Linked DNA regions of Oryzias latipes. The protein of the gene in region 1 interacts with the protein of each later gene in a biochemical or structural test. Links are inferred from orthologs where the notes say so. Each region holds a gene or a part of one and is shown in the gene's direction. Other genes may lie near its edges. The genes, in order: parp2 and histone PARylation factor 1.

Region 1 (4,400 bases):
CAATTCTAGTCACTTCAACCAAATCAAGAAGACAGAACTTTAATACAATTTCCAATTCGGTTTCTTTCACTGACAAATACAAAGATATATATATATATATAGGACTAGTGAGCCACTATCCAGGATGAAACATCCAAGATCCATGAGTAAATCAAGCTCAAGGCCACAACTGACATTGTTCTCAGTGAATGTCTCAGGCAATGGAGAGCAGAGGATACAGTGCTGGAGGACAGATCCTCATGGGAGGACAAACTCCTGCATGGGATGTACCACCGGACCATAACTGAAGTGGCTGATATCAAGAAGTCCTACCAATGGCTAGAAAGGGCTGGCCTACAGGACAGCACTGAAGCACTCATCCTGGCAGCTCAGGGAGAAATCCTGAGCACCAAACCACAGAGGCAATGGCGAACCAACCAGACATTGTAGTGGTGGATAAAGAACAGAGGAAAGCCGTTGTGGTGGATGTGGCAGTGCCAAGCGATGGAAACATCAGGAAGAAGGAACATGAGAAACTGGAGAAATACCAGGGACTCAGAAGAACTGGAGAAAGCCTGGAAAGTGAAGGTGACAGTGGTGCCTGTGGTAATTGGAGCACTCGGGGCAGTAACCCCCAAGCTGGAGGAGTGGCTACAACAGATACCTGGAAAGACCTCAGACCTCTCAGTCCAGAAAAGCGCTGTGCTAGCAACAGCTAAGTTACTGCAGGAGCCTCTTATTCCAGCTCAAAGAGAAAGCTGTGAGATTGATTTACACAAACAGGATTTTTTTAAAGCGTACAAATACGCTTAGAAATCAAAAAAGTATTGGGAAAAAAGCACATTGGTAAAGATATAGCTGTTAGGCTTCAAACATCTAAGCACACAGATCAGGTATCGTTATATACATATACTATGTCTCATAGTAAATAGTATGACCTCCACAATTAGCTGCGTAATGATAAATCGATTTACGAACCCTCAACATTTTCTTTATTCTTGGTGTTTTCTGACCAAAAACAAATGCTCCGTATGTTCGCCATGCCATGTCTGAACAAAAAACAATAAAATCCAGATTCGGATTATAATGTACTCCCCCAAAAACCACGCTGGGAGTTTGCAGTCCTTCAGCAAAATAATTCCGGTTTTAGCTGAAGTGGAACTTGTTGTCTGTCATCTTTGGTTCCTTCGTGAGATAAAGAGGAGGGCTCACTCTTGTCATCTTTGGTGGTCCTACGCAACTGGAAAGAGCAGAATGTTTCTTTTAATAGCTTTTACTTAATTTCCACAAATTTAAAAGGTTTTAATAAAATACAGATAGCATACTAAATATATTTTTAATAATATAAAATGATTTTTCGTGTGTTTTGTTATGTTGTTATGGTTTAGATTAGAACGATGTCACTATTTAATTCTCATTTTGATAAACGAGTTAGCTTCTGTATGCCTAAACGATCTTTGGCCGCGGGACATCCTTAACACATGTCCGACTAGGAAACATCGCTCGAAAAAAGTTTCCCGCCCTGCTCCACAGTCTCATCATTGTTCCATTCTGTTCTTCTGTTTTCTATCTAGTTTACAACATGAGGCGAACTAGGGGTTCAATGAATAAAAACCAAAGTTTGCCAAAAAACGAAGACATGGAGTCAATAACAGGTTTGTGTTGATGTGAAACAAGTTAGTTGTTCAGATAAACTGAACATGTCTAGACTAGACTCTAGTCTTCGTGTTTTACGCTGTTTAAAATGCTTTGTTACGGTTCAAAAACCATACAGTGCCTTATTGAGACTTATGTGTGTGAGAAAAAGGCGTCAGACTTGGATGTCTGCGCGTGTGAAACAAGCGGCACCTGCGTGAACAGGTATTCTGTGTTGATGCTAGAATGGCAGTGGCAGGGGGACGGAGGCCGGTGGGAGTCATACCCGCCGGCGGCGTGTGCCCTGCTGGATTCGGCTCTGTCTGCGGGAACACCGGCCGTCACTCTGAACGCGGGTTCCGGCACCGCATACGAGGTGGATCTGAAGAACATGGTCCAGATCAATCCTGTCACAAAGTACCGAAGGAAAATTCGCAGTCAGACTGTGAAACCAGGTATGTTTTAAAGGTAGAAAACACACCTCCATCATCCAAGGTTTTGTATGTGAGAGATTCAGTCAGAAACAAAAGTTGTCTTTCTTTTTTCTTCTGTCTTAAACAAACTAAGTTTTAGGCAGAATTCAAAACGACTCTTAAAGAAACGAGTTCAGTAAAGTTAGCAAATAGTCAAAATCAACTAATTTACATCTGAGACAAAGGAAATTAGTTGTGGTGTCCCACAAGGATCAATTATGGGCCCTCTGCTATTCGATATTTACATAAATTATATATTTAATGTTTCAAAACTTTTAAAACCAATATTATTTGCTGAAGATACAAATACATGTTAGTTTACAGACAATCATAAGGAACTCCGTAATGTGGGAAATCCAGAACTAAGTAAAATAAAAGCATGGATGAATGGGGTGTAGTTTGTAAAGCTACAGTCAAATATTGACAGCAATATTTTTGGTTATTTAGCCTGTTTCAGGAGAAAAAAAACAGGTTTCTCTGAACTGATTGGTGGGAATTTCTTATTTTCGTAACTTTTTATTTTCTGTCGCTTCCTGCATTTTCTCCTGCATGTCTTGAATCAGTCAAGCTCAAGGACATGATGGACTACAAGTCTGGCGAGAATCAGTTCAGAGACAGAGCAAATCCAGCTTTTATTTTGGTAGTCCTTTAGTCCTTTGGTAGATTAACTATTTAGTTTGTAAAGAAAAAATACTTAACTTAAATGAAATATTTAGCTTGCAAACTAAATATTTTGTTAGTAAATGTAACATTTATAAATACGTGAATTAAAAGGTGAAAATATGCATTTGGAAAAGGACGTCTGTTTTTTTCCTCCTAAAACAAACTAAACAACCAAAAAATTGCTGTGAATATTTGACTTTGTCACTTTACAAACGGCATCCCGTATGGATGGATTACATTTGTGAATTTAGACAAAACAAAAGTAATGTTTTTGCTAATTATAATATTAAAGCAGAGCTGTCAATAAAAATAAACAATGTCTCAATCGTTACAGAAATTCCTATTGACAGCAAACTGAGCTGGAAGCAGCACATCAGCCATTCGGATGTAATTTATTTGCTGATGACACAACACTATTTCATGTAGGTAATAATATAGAAAGCAGTCCAAGCAGAGGAGAAAATACAGTGGTTTGATGTAAATAAATTATCACTAAGCTGCAAAAAAAAAAATCCTTCATGACAACAGACACAAACTTAAATATTGTACCGGTACTTGAAAAATTTATGGTATTAAAATTGATGGAGAGATGGAAATGAGGTTTCTGGATGTCATCAATGACGAGGGTGAAAATGCCATGTCAATAATCTCAAAACAAAACTTGTTAACTTGTTTCATCAAGTTAAGTCACCTCTGGATGATGAAGCACTGCATTTACTCCTCAATCCATATCTAAATTAGTGTATTGCAATTTGGGGAAACGCATTTAAACTTATGTACTTAAGTTAAACTTTAGTCCTACAAAAAAAAAAAAAGAAAAGCAATAAGAATAATCTCATACAGTATATGCAGAGATCCATCCAATCTATTATCCAGTAAGCCAAAAATATCAAGTCGTAGTTGATCAAAGTATTTTAAAGTTACAGCATAAAGCATATCAGAATTGTCTGCTACACAATATACAAAAAAAAGATTTTACAAAAAAAGGACTTATGGCTTAAAAGGATGTGAGATTTACTCTTTGCCTAAATTTAAAGCAGAAACAAAGGAAGGATGTGTTTCAATCAATCAAGGAGTCAAGATATAAAACAATCACTTAAAGAAACCAAATCACCTTCAAAAACACGTGTTAGAAAAGAACTGTTTAAAAAATACCATCAATGAACCGTGTTGCTTCATTCCAGGAAACCTTTAATTCCTTTAATTCTTTTATTCACTCTTCTTTTTGCTTTCTTCTAAGAATTTTTTAAAGGGGCAGAAAAGTATGTTTTCCTCTTTCTTTTCCTTTTATTTTCGAGGTAAAAAACTGTGTGAAATCTTTGTTTTTGTTGTTTTACAGAAAAGAAATCCATTTCCTCCCTTTGAAAATCATTAGAAACTCTCCAGTGTGACGTCGGTTAATCAGCCTGAAGTTATAACTGACATCATAGAAACACCCACAGGACAAATACTCAACACCCATGTTTGTCTTTCTCTTATAAAGACAGTTTAAATGAAGCTGAACCACAACCTGTCCAGGTTAAAGAGGAAGAGGAGGAGACAGAGGAGCAACCTGTGACGAAGAAAAGAAGAGGACGAAGCAAGAGTCAGGCAAAAAGCCAAGAAGGAAACAGTGAAGGTAGGCTTGTTGTTGTTGTGGCCATGTGTCAC
Region 2 (4,520 bases), on another chromosome or scaffold:
TGGAAATATTTAAAGACGTATATGGTGGTTATAATTGCATTTGTTTGTGGTTTATAACTTTTATTTCTAAGGTCTGTTTTCAAGTCAGTTGTAAAACAACAAATTTTTTTCTATTACTGTAATAAATATAGGAAATGTAGGAAATATATTCTACGGTGACCCTGAAGTGCAAATCACATCAACAAATCACTCGACAAAAACGTTTTAAAGATCAGAGACAACTAAAAAAAGCAAAAAAATCTAAAAAAAAAACAACATTACATTTTAAAGAATAAGACAAAATTTCAGAAGACAAAACATAAAAAACAATAATGAAAAAACATTTCAGAAAAAAAATGTCATTTACAGAAAACAAAAGGAAATGCTAAAAAAGCAAAAAAAAAAACGTTTTGTAAAACAAATTAATTTCCAGAGGAAAAATGAAATGTTAAAAAATGACAAACATTTCAGAAAACACAATGAATCCCAATTAGAAATCATAAATGGTATAGGTACTATGAATCAAATGTTGTAAATTTAAACTTAAAATCATAAAGGAAAAAAATTAACTTTCATTTTATTATCAATTTATTAACTACTATAGAAAACCAAATCATTTTTTTGATTTTATCCTTTCATTCTTTCCTTTAATTATTTACCTTCAGCACGTACGTCATTCACACAAACTGCTTCTGGGTGACCCTTCTGTTTCAGAGGTTAAATAAAAAAAAATGAATTGAAATGTTTACTGTTTGCTCCATTTCTAATTTACGGTAATATGTAAAGGGGGAAAACATGGATTATTATGGGACATTGTGGTTTGGACGATAATTTCCAGTATGGCTTAGGTCAAATAAATTGGTGTTAAAATGATGGAAAAATATCATCATCCAATCAGGGATGTCCGTCAGTACCTACCTGTTCTGGTTTCTATAAAAATACTTTTAGAAATCAAAATGCTGGGAGATCTAGTGCATTCAGAACTCTGGGGGACGGTTCCGGCTGGTGACTAGAGGGAAAACAGAGTTCTGATTCTGACACGAGGTTTTTTTGTCTGTTTTTTCTTGTGATGTAATGCAATAAAGACTTTGTTGTTTGGATGTTTGCCTTAAATCCAAAACTGTGTCTGATTAATTATACATATTTTGTAAAAGGCCTTATATCTAATCCCAGAAGGTTTCAATTTAAAATACTCCAGTGTGCACACTGCCCGGCCTGTGTCCACTTTTAATAAAATTTGTTAGTAATTAAGAATAATTTGTAAAGATTAAGAATTGAGTAAACAAGTCAGGAAATTATTGTTTTATACCTAATATAATTGAAAAAGTATACAAAGCTATTGTCCGACATAAAAATGTTTTCACACATTTAACAGAGAAACATATTTCAATGGTTTGGTTTTACCACTGTAATGAGTGGGGTCAAAAATGTATATAATTAATAAAAGTATATTAATTACAATAAGATAAATATGCCAGACCTTTCCGCGCACGTCTTTTCTGTGTATAACGTTGTATTCAAGCAAAAACGGTTTTGATACGGAATGGAAATGGAGCAGGAATGGAAGCTGCAGTTATTTTTTTAACCTCTAGGTGGCGATAGTGCCCTCTAATACAACCCACCATTTATTCTGTTAAAAGTGTAGAAGAAGACGACAAGGAGACAAGAGGAGGAAAATGACAGGGCGCGCAAAAAGAAAACCCAAATCGGCACAGGTAATATCTCCAGTCTTCACAGACTAGACATCTAAGCGTCGATGTTTATTTCAAAACGTGTTTCTGTGGAATAAGTTCTGCAATTGGAGCATACTGAATTTGATGAAGACGCAAAAGGCTGCTGTGTTTGGTGTCCAGCGGTGGTTGGACGACAATATGGCAGCAGCTGCTGCTGCTGCAAAGCAGAGCTACTTGTTTAATGACCCCCACACTTCACAATGGGCTTTTATATGGATTTAAGTAGTCCCAGATCTGCTGGGCTTGTGTTTATTGCATTTGCTAAAAACCCATGAACCTGCAATGTTTTTGCTTTACGAAAATGAGTTCAAGTCTTTTTTTAATCAATTGCTGCCAGATGGATTTTTGGAAGCAAACAGTTCTGCTGAGATTTATTTTAGCTAGCAACTCTGTAAGTTTCCTCCTTAAAGTTTTCAGCCCGAACGACAACAAAGTACACTGTACATAAATAAATATATATGCTATTATTTACGTCACTTTTGGATCAAAAAAAGATACTTTTTTATTTTAAACTTTGCTTTGAACGCATAAATAAACACAAAACATTGAGTCGAGATAATTACCATTCATTCATCCACCAAAAGAGGGAAATTTGGCAATCATATATATTTTGAACAGCTTTATTTATTTCTGCTGTTCACATATGTACAAAATCTAATATTTAATTGAAGCAACAACAACAAAGTATCTGTTTTTGTCTCTAGGATGTGAGCGCCTGTAATGGAGACGTGAAGAAGATGAGAACTGATGGATCCAAAGACGTACCGCTGTCCGATGTGACTCCAGAACAGCGTGAGGAGTTGTTTCGACTGTACAGCTTTCAAATGCCAGAAGATCTTTTTCATTTTTGGGAATTCTGCAAGGAGCTTAGTCCTGAAAATCCTTGTGGTATGCTTTATTGATTTATTTACTTCTTTTGGTCACAGCATATACCTTTCTGCTGCAATTTCATTGGTTTTTACTTCTGTGACTTCTGTTTTGTGAAACTGAAAAATGTGTGTTCATTTCTTCAGAAAGGGTGTCACTGCCAAGCCACACAATTGATTCAAATTTTAAAATTAAAGTTATCTGTTTGATTTTTAAAAAAATGGACTCTTTTTTTTATTTTATTTATATTGTAAAACAAATTTAGCTAAACTGATTATTTGAACTGAACAAAAGTGAAACTTTCATTGATACATTTTATTATTTCTTTTATTAACAATGAACACAAAAGATGTTTGATGTTTTTGTTTTTTTGTAAATGCGTGAAAAATAAATGCAAAAAACTGTTTCAAAAGAAAAACAATAAATAGATTTGATGAGCTTGTATAGTATTTTATAGTTTAATATCAATTCAATTTAACATTTTATAGGATTAACAATTTGGGTTAAGATTAATTTTGAATAAAATGCTATAATTTTTCAGCTGATTTTATCACTTTAAACCTGTATAGGCGCACTGAAAGAGGCATTGGACCTGCAGCTGGTCGGCCCTTTTGAAATTCTGGCTGGAGCCCACAGAACCTCCAAGAACCCGCAGCTGAACTTCCACCTTCACTGGAGGCATTTCTATGACCCACCAGAGTTTCAGACTGTACTTCAGGGGAGTGAGGACAGCCAGCATCACATGGGCTACTACAGGTACGGAGTTCCTTTTACTACCATCCCAAAGCTCTTTAACCCCTGTGCTATCCTAGGCACTGTAACGTTGGGAGTTGGGTCATCTAGACCCACTCGACAGTGCTCTGAACCTTTTTTCTTCAATGATTTGTGATCTTCACTGGTGTCCATGGATTACATGAAATCTTTCCACCTTTATCCACCTTTGTCATGGTCAAAGTAAGGGTGGGGTCATCTAAGATAGCACAAGGGTTAATAACAGCTGTATGAAATAAAGAGGCACTTTGGAATGCTTCTACATTTATTTTTTTATTCTAACAGAGATACCCCAGACTCCTTTCCTTCATTTGTTGGGGAAAATGAAGCTAAGAAGGACTGCACTATATTGCAGATGGGAGATAACTTGTTTGCTGCGGTCTAGTAAGTGTTTGCTTGTATACATTTACACTTTTTTTCCCCGGTAATGGGGTTTAATTAAGTCATCTTTCTTCCATTCTGTTGATCTCTATATTGTTTTGTTTACTAGTCTGTACCTGCAGAGGAAGAGGAAGGAGAGAGGCAGTAAGAAAGGAGAGACTGGAGCGTGGGAAAGCTTGGAGACCAAACTAAAGGACAAAGCCGAGTCCCTCAACTTGTCTTTAGAGCAGAAAACCAAAGCAATGAAACAGAGGGACAAGAGGGTAATGCAAACATCCCAGAACAATAATGTATCAGTTGTTGCATTCCAAGACTATTTAGATGCCTAATAATGGCATTCACTTTTACGGCATAACCTCGTTGGGCAGCAGTGGCTCAGCAGGTCGTCCATTGATTGAGGGGTCGGCGGTTTGATCCCCGCTCCATCAGTAGTTACCATCACCAAGTATGAATGAGGAGTGAATGAATGATGTTGGACACATTGTAAGCGCTTTGTGCATCTGGAAAAGTGCAGATAAATCAAATCCATTGTTATTATTGTCTTACCAGTTTAATACAATCTGGACTTCTGATCCCAAACCTTAGGTGGTCACAAAGACGTTCCATGGTGCCGGCATCGTTGTGCCTGTAGACAAGAATGATGTAGGCTACAGAGAACTACCTGAAACAGACGGTGAGCTCAAATATTTTCTAAAAAGTATTAAGTATTTCTGATCTGTTTATTTAGTTTGGGGGCTAACTTCTTAATGAGTAGATGAAGATAACAAGCATTTCCTCTTTTCATTTTTT

What was found.
Region 2: the proteins of parp2 (region 1) and histone PARylation factor 1 form a complex in vitro, tested with the Homo sapiens proteins (2 studies listed by BioGRID). The link is inferred for Oryzias latipes from reciprocal best matches to the Homo sapiens genes PARP2 and HPF1.

What each region holds. Positions count from the first base shown.
Region 1 is NC_019875.2:3,351,051-3,355,450, forward strand, and holds the start of parp2 (poly [ADP-ribose] polymerase 2), read left to right. Parts: upstream 1-1,450; 5' UTR 1,451-1,561; coding exon 1,562-1,634; intron 1,635-1,859; coding exon 1,860-2,069; intron 2,070-4,233; coding exon 4,234-4,368; intron 4,369-4,400. Other genes in the region: mettl17 (methyltransferase-like protein 17, mitochondrial), read right to left, coding at 958-1,026. UniProt on the Homo sapiens protein: Poly-ADP-ribosyltransferase that mediates poly-ADP-ribosylation of proteins and plays a key role in DNA repair.
Region 2 is NC_019859.2:12,486,238-12,490,757, forward strand, and holds the start of histone PARylation factor 1, read left to right. Parts: upstream 1-1,589; 5' UTR 1,590-1,655; coding exon 1,656-1,694; intron 1,695-2,416; coding exon 2,417-2,600; intron 2,601-3,148; coding exon 3,149-3,335; intron 3,336-3,635; coding exon 3,636-3,734; intron 3,735-3,840; coding exon 3,841-3,994; intron 3,995-4,316; coding exon 4,317-4,404; intron 4,405-4,520. UniProt on the Homo sapiens protein: Cofactor for serine ADP-ribosylation that confers serine specificity on PARP1 and PARP2 and plays a key role in DNA damage response.